Drosophila melanogaster: one gene and its partner. The protein of the gene in region 1 interacts with the protein of each later gene in a pairwise test. Each region holds a gene or a part of one and is shown in the gene's direction. Other genes may lie near its edges.

Evidence for each region. Proteins that work in one complex are often made in the same cells at the same time.
Region 2: the proteins of Nha2 (region 1) and CG12158 interact in a two-hybrid assay, tested with the Drosophila melanogaster proteins (one large-scale study listed by BioGRID).

Annotation. Positions count from the first base shown.
Region 1 is NT_033777.3:22,994,749-23,003,103, reverse strand, and holds the start of Nha2 (Na[+]/H[+] hydrogen antiporter 2), read left to right. Parts: upstream 1-4,575; 5' UTR 4,576-4,923; coding exon 4,924-4,939; intron 4,940-5,318; exon of another isoform or gene 5,319-5,320; coding exon 5,321-5,590; exon of another isoform or gene 5,591-6,650; intron 6,651-8,355. Other genes in the region: CG34375 (uncharacterized protein), read left to right, coding at 91-262, 1,523-2,652.
Region 2 is NT_033778.4:9,359,697-9,364,485, reverse strand, and holds CG12158 (uncharacterized protein), read left to right. Parts: upstream 1-1,579; 5' UTR 1,580-1,596; coding exon 1,597-1,650; intron 1,651-1,704; coding exon 1,705-1,836; 3' UTR 1,837-1,912; downstream 1,913-4,789.

The DNA of each region.
Region 1 (8,355 bases):
ATAATTACACACACTGCACTCTCTCTCTCGTTTCATTTATCCTTTTTCCTTGTGGCGGAAACCTGGTAACCTGGCCGGAACGGAAATCAGGTCATCAAACCACCTGGCTGGCAGTGCTGCAATGGACACGTGCTCTGCAATAATTGCCGCAGTCGCTCCGTAAAGTGTCCCGTGTGCCGAGTTCCTTTGGGGCCGAGAGGCCGCTGTCTGCTGTCGGACAAACTGTTCACCCTGCTGGCGGAGAGTTTCCCCTGCGATGGCGGTAAGTGCTGGTCGTTCTTAAAGGACACACATTCGCGACTTTTATCTATTTAAGCCGTGCGATACCCCAATTGGTCCTGTCATTAGGCAACAGATGTCGTTGTTTTCCAGCATTCTGAGCGCTTCTAGGGGTGTCCTTGAATGGCAAAACATAATGGGAGTGGTGGGGATAGGATGCAAAGTCTGCTGATCACTTCAATTAACGTTTATAACTTGATTTTATATAATATTAATACATAACGAAGGTGAAATTTAATACGAATTATGTACTTTTAAAGCAAAGCCTTAACTACTTTGATTATTTAGATCCAATTTGTTATAATTACTTTCGGTTCGATTGAACTTTTGTCCGAAAGGTATTCTATTTCATGTAATGCAAAACCCTGTGGAAATAACCTTTGTGCCCGCCCCGCTGTAATACATCCTGCGGTAATGGCAACATCCTGGCTGGGAGCGGGGAATCCTCATTTGTGTGGGCCATAACTTTTCGACAGCGGCAAGTGTCAATGTTTCACTTAAATCTCGACCGAGATGCGGCGCAAATGAAAGAAAAATGTGACGAGAAAGCGGAGCCGAGTCAAGAGTGCTTGAAATTGAGCGCAATGGCTCATCTTCGCTTGTTGTTCTTTTTATGGCATAATTATGTAACATAAATTGCTAAAGTTTTTCGCGCTTAGCTGCGTTGCCATCTTGCCGGAAGATTGTTGTTGGCGTTGCTTTTCTTGCTTTGCCACTGGGCGGCTTCGTTTAAAGTTTAGCCGCCCTTGTTGCCATTTTCAATCTGTGTCGACCAAGTTAACTTGGAGTGAAGTTTACAGCGGAGGTAACAAGCAGCAACAGAATTTTCCGCCGTTGTCTGCATTTGTTTTTCCCTGCTGGTCTTCATTTTTTGCCACTTTTACCCACTTCAGGGTCCTTCGCTTTGTTTTTTCCCAGATTATGCCGTGCTTAGTGCGTTTTTATTGCGTCTACATTAAGTGTGCATTCTTTATGATTCGCCCGGATTCACCCATAGTTCAGCCATAGTTCAACCATTTTTATACAGATGCAGGTACGCGGATATTTACTTAGTTTCTGCTCTATTTTCATTTGCCACTTGAAGAAGTTCAAGGGAGTTTGTGTCAAGGGATTTGGGGGCAAAACACAAACGAGCGCAAATGGACAACTTGCGTGCATATCCATCCAGTTGTCCCAGTTGTATTTATTATATTTACATTTCGTACTTTTTGTAATGGTCCTCCGTTTCGGTGCCTCTTTTCAGGGAAAACCAACAAGGTGGCTGCCTCCCAGGGCCATGGAAAGCTGAGCAGCGTCAACAAGTGCACAAATGAATATCATAATCAACCGAAAATGGCGCTGGCGAAGACGAGTTCCGGCAAGTCCAAGTGCGGCAAGCAAATCTCCAGGCAACTCGAAACAGTTTTGGTGGACCAAAGTCCTCGGGAAATCAGAAGAAAGAGTCAGCAGGGGCAGGAGCAGGAGCAGGCGGTGCAGGAGGCTGTCCTGCCACGTTGCACGCTGATAAAAGTGCAGCATCAGGAGGCCGCTGTCGAGCACTTTTCGGAGGAAGGTCACAACAATATGCTCGTTAAACCAAAGTTAAAGTTGAGTAAGAAAAGTTGGCGGATTACTGGGCCAGATCAAGACGGATTGCGCTGCGATGAAGTTGCCACCATAAATAATGGTGTCCAGGTGCAGGAGCAACAGCAGCAGCAGGAGCGGCAGCAGCTGGGGCATGAGAAGTCAGCAAGCAGCGAGAGCGAGTATCAAAATTATCATTGCCCAACTGGGAAATCATGCAGCAGCCACAGTTACCAACTTGGCCAGCCAGTGGCCAACAAATTGTCAACAGTCGCGATGCAGGCGCTGGCGGTGGTTGAGAACTCGGGAGGTGCATCCTTATCAGCGGGGAGCCATAAACAGGCGCCGGCAGCCGGAGTAAATCAGGAGCTGCCACTGGAGGCGGGGTCAATAGGTCGGCGGGAATGGCAGTTGTTGCGACATTTGAGCGGCGACCACCGGCTGGCAGTGTTGCAAATCTACGGCACGTTCGGCGAACGCTTGCACGTCCGCCCCCAGCTGCCCCTGGAGGGCGTGGCCTGCCTGCGGCTGAGCGAGGAGTCCTCCACTTTTGGCCACGTCAGAGTGCACACATTTTTCTTGGCTGTCATTGCGATCGGCGGCGGCGATGAGCACGCCGTCTTCCTGTGGCACCTAGACCACCTGCCACATGGACCCACTTTCGAGACTGTCATCGAGACTCCGGGCCACCGATTCCTGGGACCTGCTCACTCGCTCCGGTGCAGCTGGCCGGAGATTAGGGCATCCGGCCAGTTCCTCACCCTCCGCAATCTGGCTGCCAAGTGCGAGGTGACCATCAAAAGCAGGTAGACCCCATCATGCACCCAAGACTGGTCCCAAAACATAGGTATTCTAAGCTAATTAGCAGGTAGTAATCGTGTTTAAGAGCTTTGAGGCAAGTTTAAGAACTGATGGCTGCGAAAGCGGCGATAGAGCAAACCAAAATGCAATGAACATAAAATAAGAATAAAATGTGAAATGTATGCTTTGTAAATTATATTTGCATTTTTTCCATCGACCGCGTATTTATACGAAAAATGCAAAACGCAATTTGGAAATGTGTTTAATTTGCAATATTTTTAATTAATAAAAACATTTAGAAATGTGCTGGCCTGGCAGTTTGAAAGTCCTCGCCATTGAGTGTCCACGTTGAGCTCAACAACCTGCAGATGCTCTATAAGAGTAGCGAGCTAAATTAATGGTTTGTATGGTACTTTAATGAAAAACAAAATAAATCTTTCTGCGCCATATGCGATTCTTTTGGAATATCATGACCCATTTCAAGAGTATCTCCATTAGTCCTTGCATCCTTATGGCGGAATAATAACACCAATGTTTGTGCAAAAGAAATTGAAAAACTGAAAACTGAAAACTCAAAACAGAAAACTGAATACTGAAAACTGGTAACTAGCGCCTGTCTGTTTGCTGCCTCCTGATAATTGACTTGCATGCAAATTAATGTTTTTTGCATGTGGGCGTAAATTGCTGCCCTGTCTGACAAACAGTAAACACGGTCAATGCAGCGGCGAGTCATTTTCATCAACGCGCCGCTGCACTATACATAAATCTCTGCCCCATCGATGTTTACCATATTTAAGGAAAAAATTCCAATTTGATGCAACAAAAATCACGGCACTGTAACAACATGTGTGTGCGTGGCAAATAGAGCGAGAAAGTTGTATTATCCTTTTTGCAGCGCCCCGCACCTCACAATGTCCTGTTTTTTTTGAGCCATCATCATAGTCATCATCATCGTCGTCATAATGGCCATCTTATAGAGTGAGAGTGCAACTGCAACTCCATACAGTGCAAAAAAGTGTGTGTGCATAGTTAAAATAAATTAAATATTTTCGCAAACGACACTTTTTTTGCGCAACAACGTGTGGCACCTGATGAGGAGATGATCTGACTGGAGCACTGGATAATGGTGGTGACGTCACTGCGATTGGTTATCTTTGTCATGGGGCTGGTTTGTCCATCAGGTAAATTAAAAATATTCCAGCGAAGCAATTAAATTACAGCCACGGCGTGGGAGTGGCCACGGCGCCCAATATGATGAGCAACGTCAAAATGCAAATTGTCAGAAAAACAATTTGCAAGACAAGCGAAACTCTTTTTACTTCAAGGAAATATAATTGCTTTCCAAGCTCACAAAAATTAATAATTAATAATAAAAACAATATAAGGTAGTTTTTTTTTTAATACCATGTAAACGCAGCTGGCAAACTAAAGCGCCATCTATGGCACAGAATTGCCGCCCCAATGATAGAGCTCAAATGGGGCAGGTCGCGCACATTTCCCTAAAAAAAAGTGAAAGCGTTTAATCATTCCGACACTCACACATGGGAAATGCGCTATGATTAGAGGTCTATTAATAACGCGGCTATTCGGCGCCTTATCTAGTTCAGATAAATTATGATTACATGACAATTATTTATCAGCTAATTGGCTGCGCCTTAGAAAACTATGGGCATATTGAATCGCAGATAAACGAACCCCTTATAAATATGTAAGTGCTTCCAAACAGACCCCACCCCCACCCCTCATTTCACCCAACCCAGAAACCAACTCATTCCGCACTTTTCGCTCGACAGCAATGAAAACAGAAGGTTCGCCTTCCGCAGAGCTTGTTTGTTTGCCAATTAGTTTTAATCGAAGAGCGCTCGCTGGAGCTGCGCGAATCGGCAATTGCTTGTTTAAATGGCTTTTGCTTTTCTAATTAATGCGTTTGGCAAATATTTGCCAGTGCATGAGCTGTAATAAAAAGAAGCTCCAAGTGCTCAAGTTCCGGGGCTACTACACTATTTCATTCCGCCTTTCCGCCGGTCGTGTCGCGCGTGTTCCGTTCCCTGCATATACTATACTATATACTATATATCCACTCGATTCGCAGCTAACCAATCTCTTCAAACCGCGGCGTTTCTCTTTGGCACTCGTCAATTTTGAGCCAAGAATAGCCATTTGGACTACGTCATCGTACTGATTGCGTCAGCAGTTGTCGCTCTTTGGCATTATTTTCCGCGTTTTTTTCACTCAATCACTCAGTTTTGTTTTGTTCTCTGGATTTCGCCGACATTCGACATGAGCAGCGATTCCGGTAAGCGATTCTGGCAGCTTTCGATACTCACTTTCGGCGTTAATTTACGAGTTTATGGTTAATCAATTAAATGCCACTTTTTGCCCAAGTGCCAATAAATAAATCGTGTGCAAATATGTTCGGGCTTCCACAAGTCAAATTGTTGGGAAATTAACTCTTTTATTTATATACTTGGGACTGGAAAATAAGAATGGTAGAATGGAATTATCAATATTTTTTGTTTGATTAGCAACCCTTCGGCTTTATCTATCATGCGTAATTAAAAATGTTACCAAATAGCTTGAGTCAATTTTTTTTGTGGGAAAAAAGTATGAATATAAAGCGATTTTAATTTTAATATCATACAAATTAATTTATATATATATATATATTTTTTTTTAGATATATTGGATGTAGTGGCAGGCAGTGAGGGTCCACCCTTGCAAGCCTTTCGCAGCAGCAATCCCTTCGAGGACTCGTATCAAATGTCCTCCTGCCAGCAAGATTTCGAACGCGATCGTGATGCGAACTTGACTCCATTGCATATGCTGCGTCGAGCCAGCGAAACGGTGACCGCCAGCATCCTGGAGCCGGAAAAGGAGCACCTCCTTGGCGACAAGCCACAGGTGCCCCCTCGTGCCCATGGAAGCACCGCGCCAAGCGCCATCGAAGGTGAGTGATATGTTTAATTGCACCGCGTCGTCATGGGGAAATTCGAAAAATGCGGAACGAAAGTATTTGTTACGGAAATTCTTGCCTTTATGCAACCAGCTCCCCGGATCAGTGTGCACACAACCCGCAGACAGGACGGCAAAAAGGATGCTGAAGACAGAGACATCCAGTGGAACAGCTCCATGCCAACGCTTTGTTGGCCAGCCAAGCGAAGTGGCTCCGACAGCCAAGTGCACAATGCGTGCTCAGATATGCACATATGCACTTCAGCACATATACGAGTATTCATAGTTTGTTTATGCAAAGTTTTTGTTTCGCCGTCGAGATATCCTGGCAGAATCACAGCTTTTTCTCTCAACTGGCAGGAGCTGATTGAGGCATTTCGATTTTAAGTGAACCGCACAATCACATCTTGCACAAGATGGCGAAGGCGGGCGGGGGACACAGGGGCGTATACGTAATATTTCCGCATATTGACGACAGAGTGTCTGCGATTGACAGTCCAGTGCATCTACCGTCCCGGCTCAAACTCAAAGGCAGGCATTTCCTACACATTCCTTCTGATTTCTGGAAATATGCAAGGCTGTGCCCTGCTGGCCATGTGTGTGGACCACTTTCGTTGGCCGAGCTTTTTGTTTACGCTCCTCTGTTTTGGCAGGTGGCCCTTGCTGGTTTTTCGCCCACAGCCGAGTAGCTAGTATTTTTGAAACTCCCAGAGCAGCAATTGTTTTGCATCTGTTCAAATGCGGGTTTTCGCACCAGTCCATTGTACAACTTTTTGGGAGAATTGGGGAGAACTTCCCTTTGGGCCATCGCAATTGTGGCATTTTCACACGAATAATGAGCCAGTTTAGTTGCGCCCAAATGCCCGCAATCATACAACTAACACGAGTGGCAAAAGCCCGCGGCTCTCGGCAAAGTATGTTCCCATGAATATGCATTAACCGGGGCTCATTTCCTGTGCATTCATTTCGCATTTGCTATTCGCTTTCACATTCGGAGTGCACCACTGATTCTGATTCAGATTCCGATTCCGATTCCGATGCCCGTTTCCATTTCGCGTCTGACTCTGATTTGACTGTGGAAGTCATATTTAAATAAGTTTGCGCACCGCTGCAGGCAGCACTAATGCTCGCATGTGCAGGCACTCGTTTATATTAAATAAATTCCATTTAAATGCAGCGTTTGGGGCAATTCCTCAAGCTCAACCTTGAATGGCACAGCCCTACCATCCACCTGCCCCATCCACATTTCACCTGTCGCTTCTGCTTGTGAGTGAAACGGTGACATTTCTGTTAACTAAAGCCAACATGATATACGCTTGGCACACAAACATGCACTCGTCTATTGATAAATGCAGTGCATTGCGCATTCGCCTCATGCGCCTGTGTGTGTGTGTGTGCAAGTCAGTTCATTACGTATACGCAGTGTGCGACATTTATAAATGCCAGCTAGACTGTGACTCAGCATAATGATTGCCAAATGAATGGTAGAATGTTAACCGTCACGAAAACCCTTTCGACGCCATTTCAATTGGCGCTGGTGCGTTTCGCAGCTGTGTTGGCCCACTTTGGAGGCTTGAATACTTTGGCTAAATCTGAAGGATTTGCAGGCACTTGCACTTGCGCCACAGCTAATTACTAAAACTGCACTTAGTCGCCCCTCCCGCACTTAACCTTTGACCACCTGTCAGACTTTGGCTGCTTATTTGCCGAGCTGCAACGGGGGTTTTTTTTTTCAATTTGTCTCTGGCTCTTTTATTTACCAGCATGGCGCTGAATGGCGCTTTGTGACCTCATTTCTCTACCATTTTTATATAGTTTACCAGCCCGGAGCCAAGAAAGTGCCAGTTTCCACTGATTTGCGATGTATGAGCACTAAATTCGATGCGAATCGCTGGGGCGTGAGTTCATCTCTTGGCAGGAAGTGCGTGACAACGGAATGCAATCTTCTTCCACGCAAAGAAATTATTTTCCGAATGCGCGCTGCATGTGGAGTTGCAAGTCGGCATCAGGATTCAGGACGCGGCAAGGATGCCGGCTGGCATAGTTAAAAGGTGGTACGCTTAAGTAAACATAAATAAAATAAATGTGTTCTGAGTACGGGAAAAGTGATTTGATATATAAGTACGCCCCAGACGCAGAAAGAGTTTCAGACTTCAGACAGCAGGAACTCCGGGCTCCTTGGCGTGGAAGAGCACGGAATAAGGAGAATAAGGACTTCTGTCATCAGCGAGCGCAATTTTCCGTTTAAACATATTGAAAAAGCACCTAACGTTCGCCTGTAAATAATGAATAGTTGAATAACTGATATAAATTACTGGGGATACACATTCAGTAGACCGTCTTGCCGAGCACTTTTTATGGCACTTTTAGCTGAAAAAACAATCTAAATGTTAAGTGACAGCAAAAAAAAACTTCGTTCAACTTTGAGCAGAACTATAAATTCTCCATCCTTAGACCTAAGTGAACTTTTTCAAAGTTGTTTAGTTTTCGGGCCGACGTCGTCTGGAAAAGTGTTTGCCTCGCTTCCAATTAACACCTCAGATTCGCACTCGTACGCAATAGTCCGCACATGACAAGCGGATGACAAAAACTTTGCAGATGCAGCTGCAACTGTAACTGGAGCTCCATGGATATGGCCATTACTTTTTTCCATCAGCACATTCTGCGAAGGAGTCCTGCTCCGGCTCCTGCTGCGCTTCTTGCGACCAGTGGCATAATTTGTGTGGAAACTTCTTGGGCAATTGAAAAGCGAAATGCGAA
Region 2 (4,789 bases), on another chromosome or scaffold:
AAAGTGCCGAAATGGTTATAAGGCGTTATGGGTTCGCCACTCGCTTGCGGTTTATTCAGCCGCTCAGTTCGCGACTATGGGCATATTCAATATTCATATTTCGCTGTGGCAGGGACATTTATTAACCGAAAAAAACCCACACAAGTACACAGTAAGAAATCTGCACAAAGTCGTTTATAATATTTTTAAAAATTATTTCTGCAACTGCTTGCATTGTTGTTACTATCATACGCATATGTATGTTTCTTATAGTTTATTTTAATTTTTCAAAATTATTGTAATAGAGTTCTTAGAAGATTAATTTCAAGAATGCCTCCCAACTTAACATTAGAAATTACCTATACTTGTATCAATTGTAACTAAATAATTCAACTATATGCACTTCCTTCAGTCTGCAAACATCGATGTGCCCATAGGTGGTGACAGGTGAATCGGCGGGCGGGACCCATCGTTGTTGTGTAAACTAGAAAGTCTTGTTTCTGTTTGGCCAACGTTCGGCAGAATTTAATCTCAAGCTGAAACCGAAGACATTTTGCCACTCAACGCTCGAAAATGCCGAGCGAAATTGCTTTGCCCGACCATGCCCCCAAGGTGATGGCGAGGGGCAAGTGAATGGGCGGTGGCAGTTGGATGGCAGGTGGATGGTGGGTGGTGTGCGAATCTCTTTCAAAACGTGTAGTGTCAGTCAAAGAATGGTGGCATATGGGTGGCTGGTGTGTTGGATTGTTTGAGCATACGCTCAAATTAAAAGACCGAGCAGCAATAGGAAATCCAGTTTGAATAATTGACGGTTTACTCTGCCTAGACAAACTTTATGAAAATGTAATAGTGCCTAAATGAATTGATTTCGAAAGCTTCGTAAAGTGCGAGGCTAAGGAAATTTAATATGCCACTTGGAATATTTTAGGAAAATAGTTTACCAAGACAAGATACAAAAAACCAGAGACAGTGTCAAAAGTATCGAATATCAGATACCTGTTACTCCGACTGCTTCCGTGAGTGCACACGAGCTCCACCTAGTGGTTATTTTTCAGTAACTGCTTATGACGCTCTGATGTTATCAAAGATAAAACGCCCAAATATTTTATAATCAATATAGCTTTTGAAGTCAGAGTGTGAATCAGATCGCTATATGTTGACTTATAAATTCTTACCATCCAAGTTAATTTTTCGCAAAACGTATTTGTTTTGGCGTGTCCAAAATGTTATTAAATTTAGAGCTCAATCTATACATTTTTAGTTAATTATAGCTATGATATGATGACCTTAGTGACATTTGAGAGATATTCTGGCTAATTTTTTCAAATTTGTTTTTCCAATTAAACAGCAAAATGATGGCTCCCCTTTGGAGTTATTTTGTCGTTTTAATATATTGTATATGCGATCAGATCGGGTCACACGCAATTACGACATTATAAATCAGATTCGAGCGAGCAAAATAATACAGAATGGCATTATTAACATACAAACTGATTTTGCCATTTTGTTCACTGCGATGGTTAATTGCACTGGATTATAATCTCTTGGGAACCGCAGTTGTGCTGTATGACTATAAAAGACCACATGTGTTGTTAGTTTACTAGTTTCAAATTCAACATGAAGCAGTTCGCATTGTTCAGCATCTTCCTTCTAATTCTGGCTGTGGGTTTGGTAAGAGTTGAAGGGTTTTCAATCATCCACTTGGCCTAACCAGAGGTTTTCCAGGCACAAATGCCGCTGCAGGTGGCCGCCCAGGGCCAAAATGGACATTCGCAGGGACAGCCGCCAAGACCGCCAAATGGCAATGGAAACGGCAACCAGCAGAGTGGACAAGGACAAAGCGGGCAGAACAACTAGAACTGGGATATTTCTGGAGGGGGACACACACCTCCTCGCCACTTTCCCAGTTACTTAAATAAACACTTTCCCCAGCAAACTAAAAACTTCGTTTCTTGAACCCCGTAAGCTTAGAAAGGCAAGCTCGATATTAATGGTCAAAGGGAAAAGAGAAATTCGAGGGTAGAATCTTAAAGCAAATTGAAATCGAAGGGAAAATAACATGACTGAATAGATTTGTCATCTTAAAGGCTCTGAAAACTTCCACTATCAGTTGAAAATATAGGCCCGCGTTTCTGTTTATGTATGTGACTAAAAAAAATGTTATGTTTTACACAAGTTCTTAGAGCCATATTGTTTTACAATTGTTATACACTTTTTTTGTATATTCATTCTCCTCCTCGCTTTGTGTATTTGCACTGCGTCTGGGCCAAGCCAATTTGGAAAACTTTATTAATAAAGTGCACAAATTATGAGCATGAAACTCACCCCTCAACCCCGCGCACATGGCCATAGGTCCATTCCGGCTGATGAGCCAGGAAAGGGGTTACAAAGGGGTTTCAATGCCGGGCTATTCGGAGCGATGGAAACCTACAAAGCGCAACTTCTTCAGCGACTTGTGTTCTACATTCTGTGAAAATGCAAATGCTTATTACTCGTACCAAAGGAGCTGTGCCGCCAGGCAGTGCATAATTGCATTATGACTGCCGGAGTCTGGATGCAGCTAACCCTCTGTTCAAAGTCGCCGGAGAACCCAATCCCCTCCCAACCGACATCCCTTGCAATTCCCGGAAAAACACCTTCTAAGCCGCTCTACTTCAGCAACTGAAATGCAGCCATGTGTGAATGCACCTCGGAGACTAACCGAAAAAGTTATGCTATCGCTATCAGTCAAAAAGGATACATACTATACGTACATACATACATATGTATGTACATATGTAGAGTCTCACAGGGAAGGGAAGCACTGAAAATGGCCATTATTATCCCTTATTTTAAATTAAAGTAAATTCTTCCAGTCCTCTTGTTAACTATGATTAATAGCAACAAATGAAATTTACATTTTAGACTTGGAGTGGTATTACAAATGTCATAAAATAGGAAATATATTTCAGAATTTTACATTACTTAGGGTAGTAGGATTTAGTCCTTAAATCAGTGTATTTTAATAATAGCAAGTGGCTAATGAACGCAAATTTGATTGGAGCTGATACAAATCAATCTGTTGTTTTGTAAGCTGAATGATTTGCATAATCATCCTAAATGTAAATCAAATGTTACGTTTTTTTTGCTGTGTGCCTGTTCACACATGAACACGAATATATTTAAAGACTTACAATTTTGGGCTCCGTTCATATCTTATGTAAATGAATCGAGAGCGATAAATTATATTTAGGATTTTGTTATCTAAGGCGACATGGGTGCATTGCTCAAAAACATGTAATTTAAGTGCACACTACATGAGTCAGTCACTTGAGATCGTTCCCCGCCTCCTAAAATAGTCCCTTAGTGGGAGACCACAGATAAGGTCCTCGCCGCTCAAGATAGGCAGATGTGCCCGAGCGTGGGACCTCGATAAGGCGGGGACTATTTACGTAGGCCTCTGCGTAGGCCATTTACTTTAAGATGCGATTCTCATGTCACCTATTTAAACCGAAGATATTTCCAAATAAAATCAAGTTTCTTACAAAAACTCAACGAGTAAAGTCTTCTTATTTGGGATTTTACATTTGGTCAATCGAGCCTTTAATCGACTCTGCAGTTTCCCCCTACCAAAGGTAAGGAACTCAGAGAAAGGCCAGCTCCTTTAAGCATCTTACAGCTAAAGGTAGCAAAAATAAGTGACTCTTGTTTCCCCCTACCAAAGGTAAGGAACAGAGTATAAATATAAAAAGCAAAAGATACAAAAGAATCTTTTATGTTTTAAAACAAGCACCTTATAGTCTATAGCTAAAGGTTGCTTTGTGTACCATTATAAATTGTGGTAAGGCGTGCTTGAGGCCATACATCAGCAATTGTGAAATTAAAAAGTGCATAACAAAAGTGCCTTATAAATGCTCTAATAGCATTAAATCAGCTCATAAATAGAGTGCAGTGTATATGCCATAAGAGCATAAATTAAATAAAAAGTGCCTGAAAACAGTGCCTTATAAATGCTCTAATAGCATTAAATCAGCTCATAAATAGAGTGCAGTGTATATGCCAAAAGAGCATAAATGCCGAAATAAATGGCTAAAAAACAAAAAATCTGACTGGACTACAAAAATAATAAAACGTGCCAAAAAAAAAAAAAATCATCTTTAAACATCGACGGAGCCTTAAAGAAGAGAAGGAAGTCAAATTCAAAGGAGCCTCTACCAGCAGCAGAAGCAGCAACAACAGCAGCAGCAGAAGCAGCAACAGCAGTAGCAACAGCAGCAACAACAGCAGCAACAGCAGCAGCAACAACAACGACATCAGCTAAGTCAAAACAAGAATTTTCTGTTTATCCAAACACACATATATATATAAATACATATAAAATACATATACACGTACTATATATATTAAGAAATTACAAAAAATTTTCAAAATGATGTCAGAAAAGACTATTCAATTCCTTAAGAAGCAGTCCGAAATTATTTTGGAAATTAGAAAGTTGGAAGTAAAACCAACATTAACAGATGTAGAAATTCTAAAATTAAATGAGCTTCAAAAATGTTTCATTGCTAATCATAGCAATTTGTTAAAGATCGGCGTTGTCGATCATGAATATTTTAACGCGAAGCAGTATGATTTAATAATGATGGTGTTAGAAAAAATTAAAAATAAAAATGAAAAAATTAAGGGCGAGTCGGTAGAAAACACTTTCCCTAAATCAAACACTGTCCCTAAATCAAACCCTCCCCCTACATTAAACCTTGAAATGCGTGGTCACCCTGAAAAAGAGGGTATAGCACAAAACAACGCTTTAAAAGTAGAGCAGGCATTTCGT